5 linked regions of the Cricetulus griseus genome follow. The protein of the gene in region 1 interacts with the protein of each later gene in a pairwise test. Links are inferred from orthologs where the notes say so. Each region holds a gene or a part of one and is shown in the gene's direction. Other genes may lie near its edges. The genes, in order: Klhl42, Sertad1, Stam2, Stxbp4 and Ddi1.

Evidence for each region.
Region 2: the proteins of Klhl42 (region 1) and Sertad1 interact in binary tests that used the Homo sapiens proteins (3 or more experiments, as listed by UniProt). The two-hybrid records come from large-scale screens. The link is inferred for Cricetulus griseus from reciprocal best matches to the Homo sapiens genes KLHL42 and SERTAD1.
Region 3: the proteins of Klhl42 (region 1) and Stam2 interact in binary tests that used the Homo sapiens proteins (3 or more experiments, as listed by UniProt). The two-hybrid records come from large-scale screens. The link is inferred for Cricetulus griseus from reciprocal best matches to the Homo sapiens genes KLHL42 and STAM2.
Region 4: the proteins of Klhl42 (region 1) and Stxbp4 interact in a two-hybrid assay, tested with the Homo sapiens proteins (2 studies listed by BioGRID and IntAct). The two-hybrid records come from large-scale screens. The link is inferred for Cricetulus griseus from reciprocal best matches to the Homo sapiens genes KLHL42 and STXBP4.
Region 5: the proteins of Klhl42 (region 1) and Ddi1 interact in binary tests that used the Homo sapiens proteins (3 or more experiments, as listed by UniProt). The two-hybrid records come from large-scale screens. The link is inferred for Cricetulus griseus from reciprocal best matches to the Homo sapiens genes KLHL42 and DDI1.

Annotation. Positions count from the first base shown.
Region 1 is NC_048601.1:2,620,147-2,624,436, reverse strand, and holds the start of Klhl42 (kelch-like protein 42), read left to right. Parts: upstream 1-1,489; 5' UTR 1,490-1,733; coding exon 1,734-2,554; intron 2,555-3,428; exon of another isoform or gene 3,429-3,509; intron 3,510-4,290. UniProt on the Homo sapiens protein: Substrate-specific adapter of a BCR (BTB-CUL3-RBX1) E3 ubiquitin-protein ligase complex required for mitotic progression and cytokinesis. The BCR(KLHL42) E3 ubiquitin ligase complex mediates the ubiquitination and subsequent degradation of KATNA1.
Region 2 is NC_048602.1:8,436,099-8,440,331, reverse strand, and holds the start of Sertad1 (SERTA domain-containing protein 1), read left to right. Parts: upstream 1-1,421; 5' UTR 1,422-1,555; intron 1,556-2,150; exon of another isoform or gene 2,151-2,245; intron 2,246-3,579; exon of another isoform or gene 3,580-3,965; intron 3,966-4,065; 5' UTR 4,066-4,068; coding exon 4,069-4,233. UniProt on the Homo sapiens protein: Acts at E2F-responsive promoters as coregulator to integrate signals provided by PHD- and/or bromodomain-containing transcription factors. Stimulates E2F1/TFDP1 transcriptional activity.
Region 3 is NC_048599.1:121,658,785-121,662,297, forward strand, and holds part of Stam2 (signal transducing adapter molecule 2), read left to right. Parts: intron 1-2,377; coding exon 2,378-2,603; coding exon of another isoform or gene 2,604-2,704; 3' UTR 2,705-3,513.
Region 4 is NC_048600.1:103,739,748-103,743,968, reverse strand, and holds the start of Stxbp4 (syntaxin-binding protein 4), read left to right. Parts: upstream 1-1,419; 5' UTR 1,420-1,553; intron 1,554-4,221. Other genes in the region: cytochrome c oxidase assembly protein COX11, mitochondrial, read right to left, coding at 1,080-1,400. UniProt on the Homo sapiens protein: Plays a role in the translocation of transport vesicles from the cytoplasm to the plasma membrane. Inhibits the translocation of SLC2A4 from intracellular vesicles to the plasma membrane by STX4A binding and preventing the interaction between STX4A and VAMP2.
Region 5 is NC_048597.1:120,942,980-120,945,872, reverse strand, and holds Ddi1 (protein DDI1 homolog 1), read left to right. Parts: upstream 1-1,180; coding exon 1,181-2,386; downstream 2,387-2,893. UniProt on the Homo sapiens protein: Probable aspartic protease. Seems to act as a proteasomal shuttle which links the proteasome and replication fork proteins like RTF2. Required, with DDI2, for cellular survival following replication stress.

The DNA of each region.
Region 1 (4,290 bases):
GTTTCTAACAATGTCATTGTGTTGTCCAGGGCCAACAACCTACCTTGCGGGATCGGTGCCCGGTGTTGTCAGGGAACACTCCAGATTCCAGTCCCAGCTGACTTGCCGTGGTAAAGTGACCATGGCTGAATTGCCTTTCTAATGAGAATCAGCCTCTAAGGGTGGCTTTTTTGGTTTGTCTTTAAAAGGCAAGAGAATACCAGGTGAAGGCGTATCTGTGATCTGGAAACAAAAGCTCCCATTGGTAAAGGTTCTAAAGAGCTGGAGACTAAGAGCCTGTCCTTCTGGTGACCCGTTGATCCCTGCCTCGTGGCTAAAGGAGGTACAGACAGATCAGGTCCAGCCTCTTTGACGTCATGCCTCCCAGCAGCCCCCAGCCTAACATCTAATCCTAGACATGGCACTCTGCCTTGCCATAGAGACTGCTAAATCCTTGGCCCCGCACCTGCACCTTCCTCACACCCCAAACACTGAGAGTGACAGACAGATAACCCATGGAAGCCATCCAGGAATGATTCAAGGCCTGTCAATCATACAGTGCAATGTCTCCAGTTTCTCAGAGAATCCAAGAAAGTAACAAAGTATAACAAGTCCGGGGTCTGTGTGTGTGTGTGTGTGTGTGTGTGTGTGTGTGTGTGTGTGTGTGAGTGGCCCTTTGCCCCAGCAAGGCTGGACTCTACTAGAATGTTTTCTGTACTTTCTTGTGCCTTATCCTTGTTTGTATTCTGCAGAACACAAAGGCTGAAAGCCCCCTCTCTGTGGAGCAGCCCACGGACTGACACAGTTATGCTGGGGAATTCAATGCGGGCCACCTTGCCTGCAAACACTACCACTTCACCACAGCGAGCCCTTAGGAATCAGTCTTCTAACCAAGTGAGCCTCCAGGGGAGACGGGCAAGGTGTTGAGTGACAGGTGCTGCCCAGGTCAGACTTCTACCTGGAGGTGACAGGCCTAATGCACCTCAGTGCCCTCTCCATCCACCCGCCCCTGCCCCTTCGGGTGCTCTCTTGGCCTCTGGTTCTCTCCAGAGACCCTACTTGCTGCTTCTGGTGCTGAGCTCTGAACTCTCCTTGGAGGCCCGACTATGCCATTGCCCGTCTGTCTGTGTCTGTCTGTCTTGTCCATGGAGTTAACAACACCTCTAAAACTCCTTAGCTCCAGTAATCCCTCAGTGTATTATTCTTGGACCACCAGGCCAGGCCGGTCACAGTGCAAACCTAGCAGTGCTGACTGACTGGTCCTAGAAAACTGAGCAGGGACAGCTGCCTGAGCTGCTGCAGGAAACGCTACAATGATTTGTGCATAGGGAGAGGGCATGGCGAACCGGCGCGTTTGTTTCTTTGTTTCCTGATCAATTACAAAAAGACCGTGCTGGAGGGACACGCAGTGGTTAAGTGTGCACACTGCTGCTGCGGAGGTCGGGAGTTCGGTTCCTGTTCCTGCGTAGGGCGGCTCACAACCGCCAGTGCCTCGGGCTGCAGGGTCGTGTGACGCCTTTGGCCTCCTGACACCCGCGCTGACGCGCACGCACCCACACGGACACGTCGATAAAAGACACAGAGAGGCCATTTACTCGGAGGGCGCATGACGTGCCGGCGGCGCTGAGCCGGGGGCCCGCGGCGGCGGAAGGAAGCGCGGGCGCAGGCCCGGCTCGGCGGAGGGTGTGAGCCCGGGGGAGGAGCCTGCGCGGCCGGGCGGCGGGCGGCGGGCGCAGCGGCCCAGCGGCCCAGCCATGTCCGCCGAGGAGGTGGTGCAGATCAGCCTGGAAGGCCGCTGCTACCCGGTGAGCAAGAGCAAGCTGATCGAGCAGAGCGACTACTTCCGCGCGCTCTACCGCTCCGGCATGCGCGAGGCCGTGCGGCCCGAGGCTGGCCCGGAGGTGCAGCAGCTGCGCGGCCTGAGCGCGCCGGGCCTGCGGCTGGTGCTCGACTTCATCAACGCGGGCGGCGCGCGCGAGGGCTGGGGCCTGGGCGAGGACGAGGTGCTGGCCGAGCTGGTGGAGGCCGCGTCCTTCCTGCAGGTCACGGCGCTGCTGCGCCTGCTGCTGTCGCATGTGCGTCTGGGCAACTGCTTGGAGCTGTACCGCCTGGCTCAGGTGTACGGGCTGCCCGACCTGCAGGATGCCTGCCTGCGCTTTATGGCGCTGCGCTTCCACCAGGTGCTGTGCCAGCCGCAGTTCCCGCTCCTGCTGTCGCCGCCGCAGGCCCCGGGGGACTGCAGCCTGAAGCAGAGGCTGAGGGAGGCCCGCATGCGCGGGACCCCGGTTCTGGTGGCCCTGGGGGATTTCCTCGGGGGACCCCTGGCCCCGCACCCGTATCAGGGGGAACCCCCGTCCATGCTTAGGTACGAGGAGACCACGGAACGCTGGTTCCCGCTGGCCAACAACCTGCCCCCCGACCTGGTGAACGTCAGAGGCTACGGCTCAGCCGTCTTGGACAATTACCTCTTCATCGTGGGCGGGTACAGGATCACCAGCCAGGAGATCTCGGCCGCACACTCCTACAACCCCACCACCAACGAGTGGCTGCAGGTGGCCTCCATGAACCAGAAACGGTAAGTGTCTGTCGGCAGGGCCTGAGCCCTCCATTCATTGTCCTGGCAGAGTTCCCGGGGAGCCCGGGGCCTGCCAGCAGGAAGTCGGCCCGCCCAGTGACCTTCTTCCAGGTGCGGGCCTCAGGTTTCTCTGTCTCGGTGTGTTTGAAGTGGATATTACAGAAGATGACTGCTGTTTTTTCCTTCTCTTTCCTTCCCTGGTCTGATCCGAATTATAATGCCTCTTTGGCAGCAGTATCTAACACTCTGGCTTCAGGAACTTTGGTTGTCGCTGCCAGTGACTTTGCATCCTTCTGCACCTGGGTAGGAATCCGCCGTCCCTAGGATGATGATATTAATACGCGCCACAAAGGGATTCACTTCTTTTTTTCCCCTTCCTTCTCCCTTCTTTTTGTTTATTTCCTCCCTAGACAGCAATCATCTTTGACCCAAAACTTGAGCCCAGAGCAGGATCAACTACAGAATCGGCATGCCCTTGCCCCTCGAGTCTCTTGTCTGCCTGAGCATCCTGCAGCTATTAGCATGAAGCATACATGTACCCCCCTGCTTATGTTCCTTGGTTTTCCTTTATCTTGGTGTGTTCTTTCCTCAGGCTGGTCTTGAACTCCTGAGCTCGCTAGGCTCAAGTGATCCTCCTGCCTTCTAGCCTTTGGAGTGCTGGGATTAAAGGTGTGCACTAACGAGTCTGGCTTTCTACAATAAATAATCTCTATGTTCCTTACAGCTTCAAATGTAATGTATCTACCTTGTCAGTGTTGTCAATATACACACTTCCCCTGCTTACTGTTTGAATCTATGAACCTGTGGACTCAAAGGGCCAGGTGCATTCATTCCTTTCTCCCTCACTCATTCCCTTCCTGTGGAGCCCTCTTACCTTGACCATGGGTGGCTCAGAGAAGAAATGGAGGAGCTTGGAGGTCAGGGTGGGAGGAGAAGTAAGGAAAGGAGCCTGGAGAAAAAGAAAATGAAAGCAAGATAAAAAAAAAAAAAAAAAAAGCAGACACAGGAAGAGAAAGGGAGTCCAGACAGTCGTCCCAGGTTGTCTCAGTCTTACAGGCCTGTTGCCCCAGCTGCTTAGACTGCTGAAGCGAGCAGGTTCCAAGGTAAGGGCCTTTCTAGGTTGCAGGTGAGTTCCAGGCCAGCCTGGATAACAAGCAAAACATAGGAGAGTGGGAAAACCATATCTCAGTGTGAGAGCGCTTGCCTAGAACTCATGAGGCCTCCATTCAATCACCAGTGCCCCAGAAATGGTGGGGAGGGTAGCTACGACAGGACAGGCCCTCTCTACCAGGCCACCTGCTGCCACCCAGATCCCACTGTGGTCTTTGCCTTGAAATGACTGGAAACTAGAAGGAAGAAATCTGAACTGGAACTGCCCGGTCCAACGCAGGACAAGAGACACTTAGGTTAGGGGTTATTTGCAGGAACATACCTTGTCCTGATGGCTCAGAGGCTGAGAGCACTTGGTGCTCTTTCATAAGACGTGGTGTTCAGTTTCCCAGCTCCCACACTGGGTGCTATAACCTGTAGCTGCATCTCCAGGGCATCTGTAGCTAACAGGCACCCACATACATGCATACATACACATATAGGCACCAAATAAAGATAAAAAGTAAATCCTAGAAAGCCCTGGAAAGCTGAATTATAAGAAGCAGAGATGAATGTGCCACCCACTCTCCCTTCCAGAGGTATTACTAGGGGTTGGTGGGCTTCCATCCGACCTACTGTAACATGGT
Region 2 (4,233 bases), on another chromosome or scaffold:
TCTGTGCATCATATGTGTGCCTGGGGCCTAGGCACCAAAGAGGATCCCAGACCCCCTGGAACTAGAGTGAAGGACAGCTGTGAGCTGCTACGTGAGTGCTAGGAACTGAACCTGGTCCTCTTTGAGAGCAAGTGCTTCTAATAATTTATTTATTTTTATTTTATGTGCATTGTTGCATTGCTTCCATGTACGTCTGTGCGAGGGTGTCAGATCCCCTGCAGCTGGAGGAACAGACAGTTGTGAGCTGGATGCTGGAAATTGAACCCAGTCTCCAGGAAGAGCAGCCAGTGCTCTTAACCTCTGAGCCGTCTCTCCAGCCCTGAGCAAGTGCTTTTAACCAATAAGCACCTAAACATTCTACTCTACTCTTAGTAAATCATCAGGCTTTTTTTTTTTTTTTCTTCAGTGCTGTAATCAAACACAGGTGTTTAACATGACGGAATGCTAGGCAAGCACTCTTTCGCTGAACTGCATCTCCCCTGGCATCTTTAAGACTAGTTAAAGGCCAGCTGTGGAGCTTAGGGCTTTAATCCCAGCACTCTGAGGCAGAGGCAAGTGAATCTCTGTGAGCTCGAGGCCAGCCTGGTGTACAGAGGGAGTTCCAGGACAGCCAGGGCTACTCAGAGAAACCCTGTCTCAAAAAAATAAAATAAAAAAAAAAATCCCCTAATTCCAGTTACTTGAGGGGCTGAGGAAAGATGATTGCTTTGTATTCCAGGCTAAGTTGAGCAACTTGGTGAAACTGTCTCAGAAAAATACAAAACAAACAAACAAAAAATTTCGCCCTTTCTTCTTTTGAGACAGGATCTCACTCTGAAGCCCAGGCTGGCCTGGAACTCAGTCTGGCTTCAAACTCCCAGCAATGCCCCTGCTTCAGTCTTCCCACGCTGGGATTATGGTTTGTGAACAACCACACTCCGAAAGGAAACAGATTTTGAGGGCTTTAGCCTGTTGTCCAAAGTCACGCCGCTACTCCGGAGGCACTGATGTCCAGGATGTGACCCTCATGCCATTATTCCATGTCCACCTTACTCCCGTCTTTAATTAGAGCGGAGCCCGGCTGGAGACAACACTCTTAACACGGTAGCTCTCAAGAGGAAGGTCGATTTAATAAACCGCGTCCCTCTCCCAGAACTCATCCCTCTCTCCAAGCTCACAAAGTGATCCGCCTGAGCCTTAAAAAACCTCCGAAGCCCCTACCTGTCACCCCGCCCAGTAAGGAGAAATCGCTACTAGTTTCAGGGCTCCGGGAGAGCTCCCGGGCATGCGCTTTAAGGACCGCCTCCCCTCCCTTGGGGACGGCCCCCCCGCAGGCTCCGCCCACCCCCACCAATGAGAGCCGAGCCCTGGGCGGGAGGGCGGGGCCGCCACGCGAGTGGGCGGGAACTAAGGATTGTGGAGTGGCCGGAGTCGTGCGCCGGAGTCAGAGCAGCGTCTCCCGTCCCGGGCGCCGGCGGTTGCGGGAGCCGGGCGAGCCGAGCGATGCGCCTGCTGCCGCTTCCTGATTGGCTGCGTGTGGCTCCCTCTTCGTTCTGATTGGCCGCGAGTGATCTGGGTATGTAAATGAGGGGGCCCGGTGGTGGTGGGGGGGTGGGAGGAGAGAGGCGGGGGAGGGTGGGAGTACCGACGGCCCGAGGTGTTTTTAGCGTGTTCGATCCCCCGGTTGGGGAGATGTTCGCCGGGGTTGTCCGGGATCCGGGCGGGCGCCCGGGGCCTGAACGTGACGCCCGTCCGGGCCGGACTGAGTGAATCACGCCGGAGCCGGAGAAGGGGGCGGAGGCGCAGGCTCCCTGGCTCCGGCTGCGTGACTCACCCGCCCCGCCGCCGCCGCGCCGCCGCTGCCGCCGCTGCTGCGCTGCCGCCTTCCGGAAGCCAGGGAAGGCTCTGGGCGGCCCGCGGGGGTCGCGGCTCGCCGGGGCCCCGGGTCTGAGGGGCCGGAGTCCCCGGGGAAGCCCTGGCCGGGCTGCCGCTAGGGGGCGCCTGCGCCCGGGGGCGGAGTCGAGGCGGGGGCTGAATTCCTGCGGTTGCCTGCCGAGGGTCTGCGCGCAAAGGGCGAGCGGGAAGGGCGAGCCAAGACTCCGGGGTCTTGTTGGGGCTGTCTAGGCAGCGTCCCCAGGGCTGAGCCTCCCCCCCTTCCCCCCCGATCCTTTGTGTCCCCCCCCCCGCCCCCCGAGATGCCACTCCGGGGTCCCAGACTCCGGTCTCCTCGCCGCATGGAAGGAAGTGTGGATTTCTCCAAACTTGGGTACTCAGTGGCCGAGCCCCGCGGCCCCCCGGCTCTCCCCGCTAACTCCAGGGGCCGCCGCTTCCTTGTGCTTAGCAGCTCGGGCTCCCCCAAACTCCAGCCGTCAGTGCCCCGGCCGCCCCCACCCCGCTCACCCTCTCTCTCCCCGATGCTGCCCCACCGGCAGCCCGCCCGCCCGCCCCCGGCGTCAGCGAAACGTCGCCTTCGGCCCCCTGCTCGACCCTCCTGCCTCCCCGGAGGACTCTGTCCTGTCACTCTGAAAATCCAAGCCGCCTCCCCCCCCCCCGCCTGCTCCCCACCCCCACCGGGACTCCTACCGTGTCACTCTGTGCGCTTGCTCCTTGTGTGGGTTTTCTTTTTTCTTTTTTCTTTTTTTTCCCTTCCCCGGTTAAGATTTGCCTCTCTCGGTCTTCCATTGGCTCTTCCGGGAATGCCCGGCCCCTGGTTCTCCATAGCTGTCGTCTACACTGCCTACATCAGATCCGAAGTATCTCCTTTACAGAAACTGCCCAAAGTACCTCCTATCGCTATCTGTGCATTCCCTCTATTGGATTAAATAATGTTTGATGCCAAGCAGACATTCTATGCCTTGAACTGTACAAGTAGGCTGCATTTCCAGCCAAGAGGCGGCACCTACCTGTAATCCTAACCCTTGGGAGGCTGGGGCAGAAGGACTGCCTGGGATAGCCAGCCAGCCTGGACTAACTACAGTGTGAGGCCCTGTCACAAAACCTGGAGCAAAACCATCCAGGCACTGCCACACATCTTTAATCCCAGCACTCAGGAGGCAGAGGCAGGCAGATCTCTAGAGTTTTGAGGCCAGCCTGATCTATAGAGTGAGTTCCAGGACCGGCTCCAAAGCTACAGAGAAGCCCTGTCTCGAAAAACCAAAATAAATAAATAAATAAATAATAAAAAAGAGCAAAACCAAAAAGTACTTACAAATAAATACTAGTTATGGTTGTTAAGAGCTTGCTATTGCTAGTTCCAGGACAGCCTCCAAAGCCACAGAGAAACCCTGTCTCAAAACTGCACCCCACCCCCCCAAAAAAAGAGCTTGCTATTGCTACAGAGGACGCAAGAGATTCCCAGCACCCAAATGGAATGGCTTATAATTGCTGTAACTCCAGCTCCAGGGACTCCAACAGGTGGCTTCCTTGGGCATCTACACTCTCGTGCATATACACACACACACACCACAAAATTTAAAATAAAAGTAAAATTAGCCAGGCATTTGTAGCTCATGCCTTTAATCCCAGCACTCGGGAGGCAGAGGCAGGCGGATCTCTGAGTTCAAGGCCAGCCTGGTCTACAGAGTGAGTTCCAGGACAGGCTCCAAAGCAATACAGAGAAACCTTGTCTTGAAAAACCAGAAAATAAAAATAAAATAAAAGTAAAATTTGAAAGTTCTAAAGACCATGATGCAAGGGCTTTTTATTCTTTTGTTAATCTAATCCATATAGCAACTTACAATGTAGATGTTAGCTGTTTCTTAGAACTTTACTGAGCAGGCTCAGTTGGTGGAATGTTTGCTTTACATGCAGGAAGCCCTGAGTTCCATCCCCAGCATCCAGTATACCAAGCGTGGTGGCATACACCTGTAGTCCCAGCACGGGGGCTGTGGGTAAGAGATGATCATAAACTCGAGGCCAGCCTGAGTTGTGTGATCCTGTCTCATTAAAAATGAGGAAGAATTTGCTTAGAAAACCTGGACTGGGAGGTTAGTTGCCTTGTGAAGCTCACGCTGACAGCAGTTGTCAGAGCTGGGTGTGACCTGAATATTGACTTTCCCTAACTGAATGGCTCCTTCCTCCCTGCAGACAATGCTGAGCAAGGGTCTAAAGCGAAAACGGGAGGAGGAGGAGAAGAAGGAGGAGGAAGGCCTCTCGGTGGACTCCTGGTGGTTAGATCAAGGCCACCCAGCAGCCGCACAGACCCCCCCGCCCGTGGCTTCCAGTTCTCTCTTTGACCTCTCGGTGCTCAAGCTC
Region 3 (3,513 bases), on another chromosome or scaffold:
TTTTATTCAGGTATGCTGTTGTGCAGGGTACACTGTTATTCAGGTACACTGTTATGCAGGGTACACTATTATTCAGGGTACACTGTTATGCAGGGTATACTATTATTCAGGGTACACTGTTATGCAGGGTACACTATTATTCAGGGTATACTGTTATGCAGGGTACACTATTATTCAGGGTACACTGTTATACAGAGTACACTATTATTCAGGGTACACTGTTATGCAGGGTACACTATTATTCAGGGTACTCTGTTGTGCAGGGTGCTCTGTTATGTAGAGTACACTCTTATCTCTTTGAAAGTGCTGAGTTCTTCTCAAAGAAAAGCTTAGGGGTATGGAGGTGCAATGGTTCATTTTGAACAGGGCTCTGCTCTCTGATGCTGGCCATAGGCATCACAGACAAAAACAGCTTTGAGAGAGTGGTTAAAGCCAGTTAAGTAAGCCTTGTAATCTTTTTTTTGGGGGGGGGGGTTCAAGACAGGGTTTCTCTGTGTAGCTTTGGAGCCTATCCTGGCACTCTCTGGAGACCAGGCTGGCCTCGAACTCACAGAGATCCACCTGCTCTGCCTCCCGAGTGCTGGGATTAAAGGTGTGTGCCACCAACGCCCAGCAAGCCTTGTAATCTTGCATTTTGTTAATATTTTTTTCTGAGCACTCCTTTTTTGTCTTTTCTTTTTGTTTGTTTGTTTGTTTGGTTTTTTGAGACAGGGTTTCTCTTTGTAAACTTAGCTGTCCTGGAACTAGCTCTTATAGATGAGACTGGCCTTGAACTCACAGAGATCTACCTGCCTCTGCCTCCTGAGTACTGGGATTAAAGGCATGTGCCACCACCGCCTGGTGACCATTCCTATTTTCTGATTTTTTTAAAAAAAGTTTTCTATAGTGTACAGGAGAATCCAAGATAACAACACTTTGTTGTAATTATTGCACAGAGCCTCAAGGTTTAAATAAAAAAATGTAAGTCTTAGTACTTCGGATACAAAGGCAAGCAGATTTCTTTGAGTACAAGGACAGCCTGGTCTACAGAGTGAGTTCCAGGATAGCCAAGGCTACAAAGTGAGACCCTGCCCTTAAATATAAATATAAATAAATAAGGCCAGGTGGTGGTGGCATAACCCTTAATCCCAGCACTTGGGAGGCAGAGGGAGGTGGATCTCTGTAAGTTCGAGACCAGCCTGGTCTACAAGAGCTAGTTCCAGGACAGGCTCCAAAGCTATACACAGAAACCCTGTCTCAAAAAACCAAAAATATATTTTGGTTAATTACATACATACATACATACATACATACACACACACACACACACACACACACACACACACACACACACACATACATACATACATACATACAAATACATCAGTGTTCAATGTCATCTCAGGTGAAAGAACAGCTTTCTTTTTGTCTGATTTCTTCCACTCGTGGCTGGACCTTCTCTGTCTTCATTGAGTTTCTTCACTTTGTTAGAAAGCCTTATCCTCCTCTCCCATCTACTTGGGCTGTTTAGGAATTTGTCTTGCCACTTTTTCACCTGATCTAGTGCCTGCCACCCCTTCCCTCTCCTTTCTTTTTTCTTTGTGTATGTGGTGTAGGTGTGTTTATGTGGGTACATTTACCTTGCTAGTTTGCTGCCCATGTAGGCATGTATGGAGGCCAGAAGTTAGGGTGCCTTCTTCATTCTCATCTCCACCATTTGTTTATTTATATTAAATTGTGTGTGCCTGGTTGTTCTGTCTGCATGCGTGTCTGTGCACCATTTGTGTGCCTGACACTTTCCAAGGCCAAAACAATATCCGATCTCTAGGAACTTGAGGCACAGATGGTTGTGAACTGCCATGTGAGTGCTGGGGATTAAGCTGGGTCATCTGGAAGAGCAACCAGTGTTCTTAACTGCTGAGCCATCCCTCGAGCACCATCCACTTATTTATTTTTTGATGCAGTCTCTCACTGAATCAGGAGCAGAGCACTCAGTTCTGGCTAGACTGCTAGGCAGGGATGCCTGTCTCTGACTCCCTGACCCAGGTTAGCTGAGGCTCCAGTTCAGGTCCTCTGCACCCTGCATCAGCTCTCCAGCCCTGCTCTTCAGAGTAAAAAAGTCATTCCAGGCAGGGGTGGCACACACCTTTTAGTCCCAGAACTCTGGAGGCAAGAGATTTCTGGATTTCTGTGAGTTCCAGGCCAGCCTGGTCTACAGAGCAAGTTCCAGGACTGCTACACAGAGAAACCCTGTCTCAAAAACCAAATAAACAAAATTATGTTAACAGTATCTGATGACTACATAAGCTTGAAAAGATGGAAAAAACATGTTTGTCTTGATGATCTGTTGCCATAACTCAAGGTAAATGTGATTTTCTTTGTAAAATTTCTTTTGCAGCACTACACAGGACACGGTTTCCAACCCTTCCTACATGAACCAGAGCTCTCATCTTCAGTCAGCTGCTGGTCCAGCTGCTTACACACAGCCCATGGGGATGTCAGCGGGTGTGTCTTCTTACCAGAACACAGCGTCCAGTTTGCCACAGCTGGCTGGCTTTCCAGTGGCAGTTCCTGCACCTCCAGCTGCACAGCCACCAAGTTACCACCAGCAGCCTCTCCTTTAGACATGCCAGGGCTGTTGGAAGTCCTTGTAGGCCTGTCACTCAACCCCGGGGGTTCTGATCTGAAATATTCAAACTCCCTTCTCAATCAAAAAGAACCATGAATAATAAAGCACAAAACCCCACCTACCCTGAAGGCCATAAAAGGGTTGTTTCTCAGTCCAGTTCTCGCGAAGCTCATCTTTTGATCAGAGGCCCCTTGAAAATGTTTCAGTTAGTTTTGTACTTTCTGGCCCTCGATGAGCAGCCTTATAACACTACAATGGTATAAGATAGGAGTATCAGAGTGTTCCTTTAAGGAAACCATTGTTTCCTCTAGGATGTGATTTTTGAGGAGCACTGAAGACATTTAAGCATTTTTGTCTGCATTTTTTTTCAAATTTTTCCCACCCTATTATTTTAAAAGATGAACATCTTTTAGTGTAAGCCTTAAGATTGCCAGTGTATTCCTTTTGGCTCCTTAAATTACAGTTGTGTTTGCAGTACTGTCAGTTTTGCTCCTAGTGTTATGCTGAGTAATAATTAGCATATAATTGTGTACAGAAGCAAGAGCAATTTGGAAAGAACAAAAGTATTTTCTGTTATTAACAGTGAAAGCCATGTAAATGCAAATGTGGTGAAGCAGTTAGCCAGTCCTGTGATAGCAGTGGGCCTAGGAATGCCTCACACAATGTTAGCCTTCCCCGAGGAAAGGCATTCTGTCTCTTGTATTTTGAATTGCCACTGTTGACCTTTTCAGGTGACATTGGCCTTGTCTAATGAAGGCACTGTCCTTTAGCTTTCCTTCCTGCCTTCTTAGGGATCATCTGTGAAGTTGAGTCAGGAGACTCTTCATAATCTGATGTGATAGAAACCATCATGGTGTGAAGTATGAGGTGGGCGTGTTACTTTCTTACAGCAGTGATTGACATTC
Region 4 (4,221 bases), on another chromosome or scaffold:
CCAGTCAACTACCATAAAGCACCAGGAATTTTTATCTGACATTTCTTCACCGCTATTATTTCCTTATCAGATGTGGGGGTGATGCTACTTCCAAGACATCCTTCTGCTGCTTGAGGTTAACGGAAGTCTGATTTTCACATAATTTTACCTTTCCTAAACGAAAAGCCAAGCGTGAGGCTAATGGAAGACTCTAAAAAAAGCTACTGTATCGACATCTTTCTCTCATTACACAAGTTACTTAGCTTCATTCAATTTCCCTCGACATTGTCAAAACTACACTTTCATCCTAAAAGGTAAATCGAGAGCAAGTATTTGACCTTATTTAACAGGTTAAGTATATCATTCTGATAGGAGACTGAGTTTTAAGATGAACCGTTTTCCTAAAGAATTTAAGTCGGTTGGATAAAAAGCAATTTAAGTGTTCTTCAAATATAAACTCCATATATATATTCATTCTCCATATTTATTTATTTATTTATTTATTCATTCATTCATTCATTCTTGGGGCACGTGTTATATTAAAGTTTCTCAAGTTCGATGCGATAATAGGTTTCGATGGGTTGTATTTCAATTTGCTCATCCAAAGGGACCGCTGCGTTCCACGTCTTCCTATATTTAACTTCCTCATTTCTTGCTCTAACACCTGGTGATTGCATGGCCAGTGTGCTAAACATGGAACTTGATTCTAAGACGGAACTTGATCCTAAGATGACATTTTAAAAACCTAACGTTAACACAGCCCGAGGAAAGCATGTGCACAGACACGCTCCGGAGTCTCAATGACGTCCTTTCTGTCGGTCTCAGTGCGACTGGCATTTCAGGGTGGACGATCCTTGTTTTGTTTTATTTTTAATTTTTATTTTGGAGGGGCGGGGTGTCCCGGGAACCTGCTGCACTCACTAAGTGCCGGGGAGTAGCCTGCGCTGCACAGCACGGCAGGACGCTCCTTCCTCCCCGTGCAAGCCCCATCGTTGCCGACCCGGCCTTCCGCGGGCAGCTTTCTGGGCTGACCTCCGTCTCCCAGGCAGAGGCCCCGCAGGGCGCCGGCGGCATCCGGCCCGCACCCGGTCCCTCCCTACCTGGCAGTAGAGCCGATAGAGGGGCACGGCGGCGTAGGAGGCCCCCAGCATGCCCACGGCGGCCGCGGCCACGTAGGTGAGCACCGTCTTGTTCCGCCGCCGCCACTCGTCCTCCTGCGCGCGCTGGAAAGGGTTGCTGCTCGCCGGCCGCCGGGGCGGCTGCGCGGCGGGACCCCGGGCCCCGCTCGGGCGCTTCCATGTCCCGAGCCGCCTCAGTCCGCGCTCGGCACTCTCCACGCTCCGGCCCGGCCACGCAGGCGGCCTCCAGCAGCGGCCGCACAGAGCGACCGACCTCCATCCCCGGCACCAAAACCCTCCCATAACCCCCCGGAACCAGGGCCCGCTCAGCGGAATCTCGCGATGCCTCGCGTGTCCCGCGTACGCGCGCACGCGCGGGTTGAGCCCCGCCGCTGCCTTGACTACCAGATTCCTCAGGTAGCCGCCGAGCTACGGAGGCCGGGTGGCCAGAAGAGGGTAAGTTCGCGTTTTTTTGTTTTGTTTTTTTGCTAGGTGGCTGTGCCTTGCTTGCACTTTGTTTCCCTCTCATACTTCTTTGATTTACTTTGTGGAAAGTGCATCTGGGCCCTCTGCAGACAAGCTCCTCCCTGGGGATTGTGCTGTAACACTTACACCCCTCTTACACCCCAAACTCCACCAGCCTTTGTCTCAGCGGCTCCCAGCGGCGGCTCTCCCGCGGGGCTTCCACTTGGAGTTTACTAGCCCTGTGGATTCTGTCTCGGACCTGAGCTCAGACAAACTTCCCTCTTTGATGACTGCTTACTGTGCACACCGCATCCCTCTCCAGCACTGGGCGTCTGCATCTCCTCAGCCCGCGGGCAGAAGTTTTCCACTGCGCTGATAGCTCTTTGCTGTTTACCCAGCCAAAAATCAAGTCAGAGAACCGCTCGCAAATTGCAGTTTGTTCAGAACAGAAGGACCAAGATATGAGGGCCCTTAAAGGAGGGGCTGAAAAGAATAAGGCTATGCATCTATGCATCCTGCAGGCAGAGTCACCCCCCCTCCCCCCGCGGGATATATGCAATAGCTTTCTTCAGTTTTCTAATAGAACAAACAAAGACAGTTATAAAATAGCAGCTAAGAGCAGATTCTGAGGTTAAGCACTGATAAATTTCCTAAGGTCTTGTCCTTCCTTTTATTTTATTTTGTTTTATTTTATGTTATTTATAACTTCCCTGTAACCCGCTGGTGTTATTTCGTGACTGGAAATCAAGGTAGTTTACGAGGATGAACATATAAAGTGATTTCCCCACTGCTTCAGGCATAGTAAGAATTTCATAAAAGTTAGGTCTAATTTCTAATGGCTAGAGTGGGTCTAATTATCTCCGCTTTGTGGGTTAGAAACCTGAAACCCTAAAGAACTGTTAACATTTATTCCTTGCACTTTTTTAATTGCCTGGGGCGCCATCCAAAAATAAATCAGGCATAATCACCTTTGTTATTCATTGCCCTGTCTACTGAAGGACTCAGAAAATAAACCTTTAAATAAGGAGATTTCAGATAACAGTGTCTGCCATCAAAATAGCTGGTGGCATGAAGTAATTGAGAGTGACAATGAGAGATACTGAGGTTATGTCTTTCTCTAAGAGGTAAAATAAGGTCTTCCTAGAGGTGACATTTGAGCCTATTCCTGAACCCTGAAAAAGAGCTACCCACAAAACAACAGTTTCAGGTCATACACAAGTCCAGAGGCAGGAATGGGTTGGGTAGGATTAGAAAAAACAAAACACAGGGTCAGTGTGAATCTTGCATAATGAGCAGAGCTGACGGGAAAGGAAATGGGGTCACAGCAGGTACACAAAGACCTGATAAAGTCATTTAAACCATGTCTAAGGGAAGCTTACTTAGGAACACAGGAGTGGTTCCATCTGAGTTTCTTCACACTGAAGGAAGACAAAGGTGCTAGTCACATGATGAGAAGGAAAGAGGCAACTGGAGTGGTAGTCTAAGAGGAGATGGAGACCTTGAATAAGTAGCTCATCAGTGGCCACCGGGCTTCAAAATTGCAGAGCTCATAAGATCTGAGTCACTGTCTAGTACAGCACTCGGGTGCATTGTTACACAAACTACAAAACTCTTACTCCACAAACTTGCTTCAGTTTTGTTATGGCACTGTTTGATCACCCTTTCCCTCTGTATGTACCTTGATTCTTATGCCAGATTGTCAGATATTCAGGATAAAATCTCTCATTTTAATTTTCTGACAACAGAGACTCAAATTCCATACTAGGGGGGGCTCAGATGGAAATTAAAAGCATTTGCTTTTCTTGTAGGCAGACCTGGGTTCAGTTCCCAGCCTTTATTTGGGGACTCAGAGCTTTGACTCCAGCTCCAGAGGCCCTGCTACCCTTTTCTAGTCTCTTCAGGTGCTCCACATACATACATGCAGGCAATATACTTGTAAATTTTTTTTAAATCCTATGCTAACATTAATGTGCTTGAAGCTAACAGTATATATCCTTCAACTCCCTCCCCCCACTTCCAGGTATTTTTTTCTCCAGATTATTCAAAACAGTTGTGTAAGTATGTCATTATTACAGTTGTAGTCATGAATGCTTTCATTTATTAATTGAAAATGAATATCTGATGTACAGCCATTTTGATTGCAGTAAAGTGAACTAGGTCTTTCTAGATTTCTCTTTTTTTTTTAAAGATTTATTTATTTGTTATGTATACAACATTTTGTCTCCATATATGCTTGCACAACAGAAGAGGGCACCATATCTCATTATAGATAGTTGTGAGCCACCATGTGGTAGCTGGTAATTGAACTCAGGACCTCTGAAAGAACAGTCAGTACTCTTAACTTCTGAGCCATCTCTCCAGCCCCTAGATATCTCTTAATAAAATAAAATAGGCAACAATCCAATCCCTATATGATAATATAAAATGACAGTTCGTGTTTATTAAAGTGTGTAATTAAAATATTTCAATTTCCAAAATTTACTTTGAAATTATTTCAAAAGTTACGTAATCATTGCAGACATAATAAAATTTCCACTTATCCTTCACCTCCTTTCCCTAATCTTAAAGATCTCTGTACCATTTTAGAAGACAGTAGACATGCTATTCTGGAACTGTATACTTAATACATACATGAGTATTGATTACAAGGACACAACAC
Region 5 (2,893 bases), on another chromosome or scaffold:
ACTGCTTCCCTATAACCCAGTTAATGTTTCCCGTTATGCATTCAATCAACATTCCTAATATAAGAAAAAAAAGCATATGGCAATGTTGAGATAATTAGAGCAAGAAGTGATAGTCTTTCAACTGAAACACAAGAGAAACAGAAATAAAAAAAAATTCTTTAAGCTGATGCAATAGCCTCTGTATTGTGGAACACAGCTGAAAATTCCTAAATAGGGGTGAGGTTGTGCATGGCACAAGACTGTGACCACCTTTGGTTCATAAGTAGACACCTGGGAGGGAGGGTCCAGGGACCTGTGAACTCTTTACAGCACAGAACAGTTTCAGGGAAGAAAATTGAGTTCACAAGAGTTCTACCCAATCATCCTTGACTTCAGAGTCTCTACTTTGAGGTTGGTACTTGTTTGGGTGGTGGGGGCCGCTGTGTCTCAAGGTCAGAGAGAGGCATATTTATCTTCTGGATTGCCATGTACTTTACTATAGAATCAGTGTCAAACTGGGTTCCTCAGAGGAACCACACATTCCTGTTCTTCCTTTCTCCTTTGTCTCTGAATTTGTCTGAAATGACTAACCTTTTCTCACCCAGAAAAATATTCCTCCTTCTGCATTCAGGTTGTCACTTCTATAGCAGATACAGCCTCTGTATACTGTCAGAGGTGCTGAAGACATCCACCTCAGGTCACGATCTACTCATCTACCTTCAATGGCAAGCACCTATGTCTCCTACTAAGAATATATCATGGTTCTTGTCATGTCCAAGTCACAACCGCACTGTCTCAGAGATAAGAATAAGTATGTGAAATACAGGCCTATAGTTAACAGGCTGAATATTGGCATGGTTAAGAGAATTTAGATGTTCTGCGTGGCTAGTATTAAGTAGAATTTGAAGACCAGCCTTGGAAACCACTGGCCTTGAGTAACAATTTCTATGGAAACAGATGTTCTAAGTTCCAAGCAGTACATACCACATGGACTTGTTACCTTGAGGCTCAATGGGGCCATCGGCTGGCACTGGGGCTGGGAGGCAGCCTCCATTCTGGTCACTGCCTTTGCCTTTCTGAGAGTTGAATGAGTTTCATAACAAGGTGTAAGGGGCAGGCCAGACATCAACCCAAACCAGCACCAGTCAGCCAGTGATCCACCAGATGTTTTCTGCCAACGTGGCTTTCCTGAGTGTGTACCATGCTGATAACTGTGTACTGTGTGCGTAGGGACCTCACAGAGGCAACCTTTTCCCTCCAGGTCAGCCCTGACTTTGAGCTCTGCAACTTCAGAGTCCTCTGTGAGCTTGAGTCTGGTGTACCTGCTGAGGAGATTCAGTTCGTCTACATGGAACAACTCCTCACAGATGACCATTGTTCCCTGGGCACCTACGGCCTCAAAGATGGTGATATGGTTGTACTACTTCAGAAGGACAATGTGGGACTTCGGACTCCAGGAAGGACCCCAAACCAGCCTCGAGCAGATTTCACCGGGTCAGCCATACCTGGAACATCAAGTACCCGTCACCATCATCATCAGCGTCAGCAACGTATACCATCAACACAAGCGCACGGATTGGCCTCGGGAGAGAATATGGCCTATGCTCGGGATCTCAATAGCCCTGCTCTGATTCGCAGCATGCTGCTTTCCAACCCTCATGATCTGTCCCTGTTGAAGGAACGGAATCCCGCTTTGGCTGAAGCTCTGCTTAGTGGAAGCCTCGAGACATTTTCTCAGGTCCTGATGGAACAGCAGAGGGAAAGGGCATTGAGAGAGCAAGAGATGGTTCGTCTTTATTCTGCAGACCCATTTGATCAGGAAGCTCAGGCTAGAATAGAAGAAGAAATCAGACAACAGAATATTGAAGAAAATATGAACATAGCTATGGAAGAGGCTCCAGAGAGTTTTGGACAAGTGGCTATGCTCTATATTAACTGCAAAGTGAACGGGCACCCTTTAAAGGCTTTCGTTGACTCGGGTGCTCAGATGACTATCATGAGCCAAGCATGTGCTGAGAGATGTAACATCATGAGACTGGTGGACCAGCGATGGGCCGGGGTTGCTAAGGGAGTGGGCACACAGAGGATTGTGGGCCGAGTTCATCTGGCTCAGATTCAGATTGAAGGTGATTTCTTACAGTGCTCTTTCTCCATACTGGAAGAGCAGCCGATGGATATCCTTCTAGGGCTTGATATGCTCAGGAGGCATCAGTGTTCCATCGACCTAAAGAAAAATGTGCTGGTCATTGGCACCACCGGCACACAAACACACTTCCTTCCTGAGGGAGAGTTGCCCTTGTGTGCCAGACTGGTGAGTGGAACTGTGCAAGAAGACTCTTCGGATAAGGAAGTACCAGGCAATATCATCAAACATCCAGTCAAGGGTCCAGGACGAAAACAGCATTGAATCAGGTTGTATATAAGCCACTGCCACGAGGGAGCAAGCCATAGGTCCCAGAAAAGTATAAGACATGAGCTCAATGGCAATGTCATCATTAAAAACATCTTAGCAACCAGCCTGGCCTTGTGACTGAGTTCACAAATGGGTGACTATGTAAGTCATCACTGACTCATGGCAGTGTGTGTATGTGGGTCCATTCCTTCACTCCAGATGACTGAACCTCATCCAGGGGAAGGGCTGGAGATCCAAGTTGGTTTCCCAACATCTATTAAAGGGAAAACAAGTATTTCCTGTCAGATTACAGGGAGGGCATGTCCAAACCAAGGGCTGTTTATTTTGCATAAGTTCCTAAAAAAAAAGCCATTCTTTCAGACTACAAATATACATGTAAACAAAAGGATTTTATATTAGCAAGAGCAATGGTTTTGTATTATCCCTGCCCTCGCCTCGTGTGTGTGTGTGTGTGTGTGTGTGTGTGTGTGTGTGTGTGTGTGTTTAAGTGCCCACAGAAGC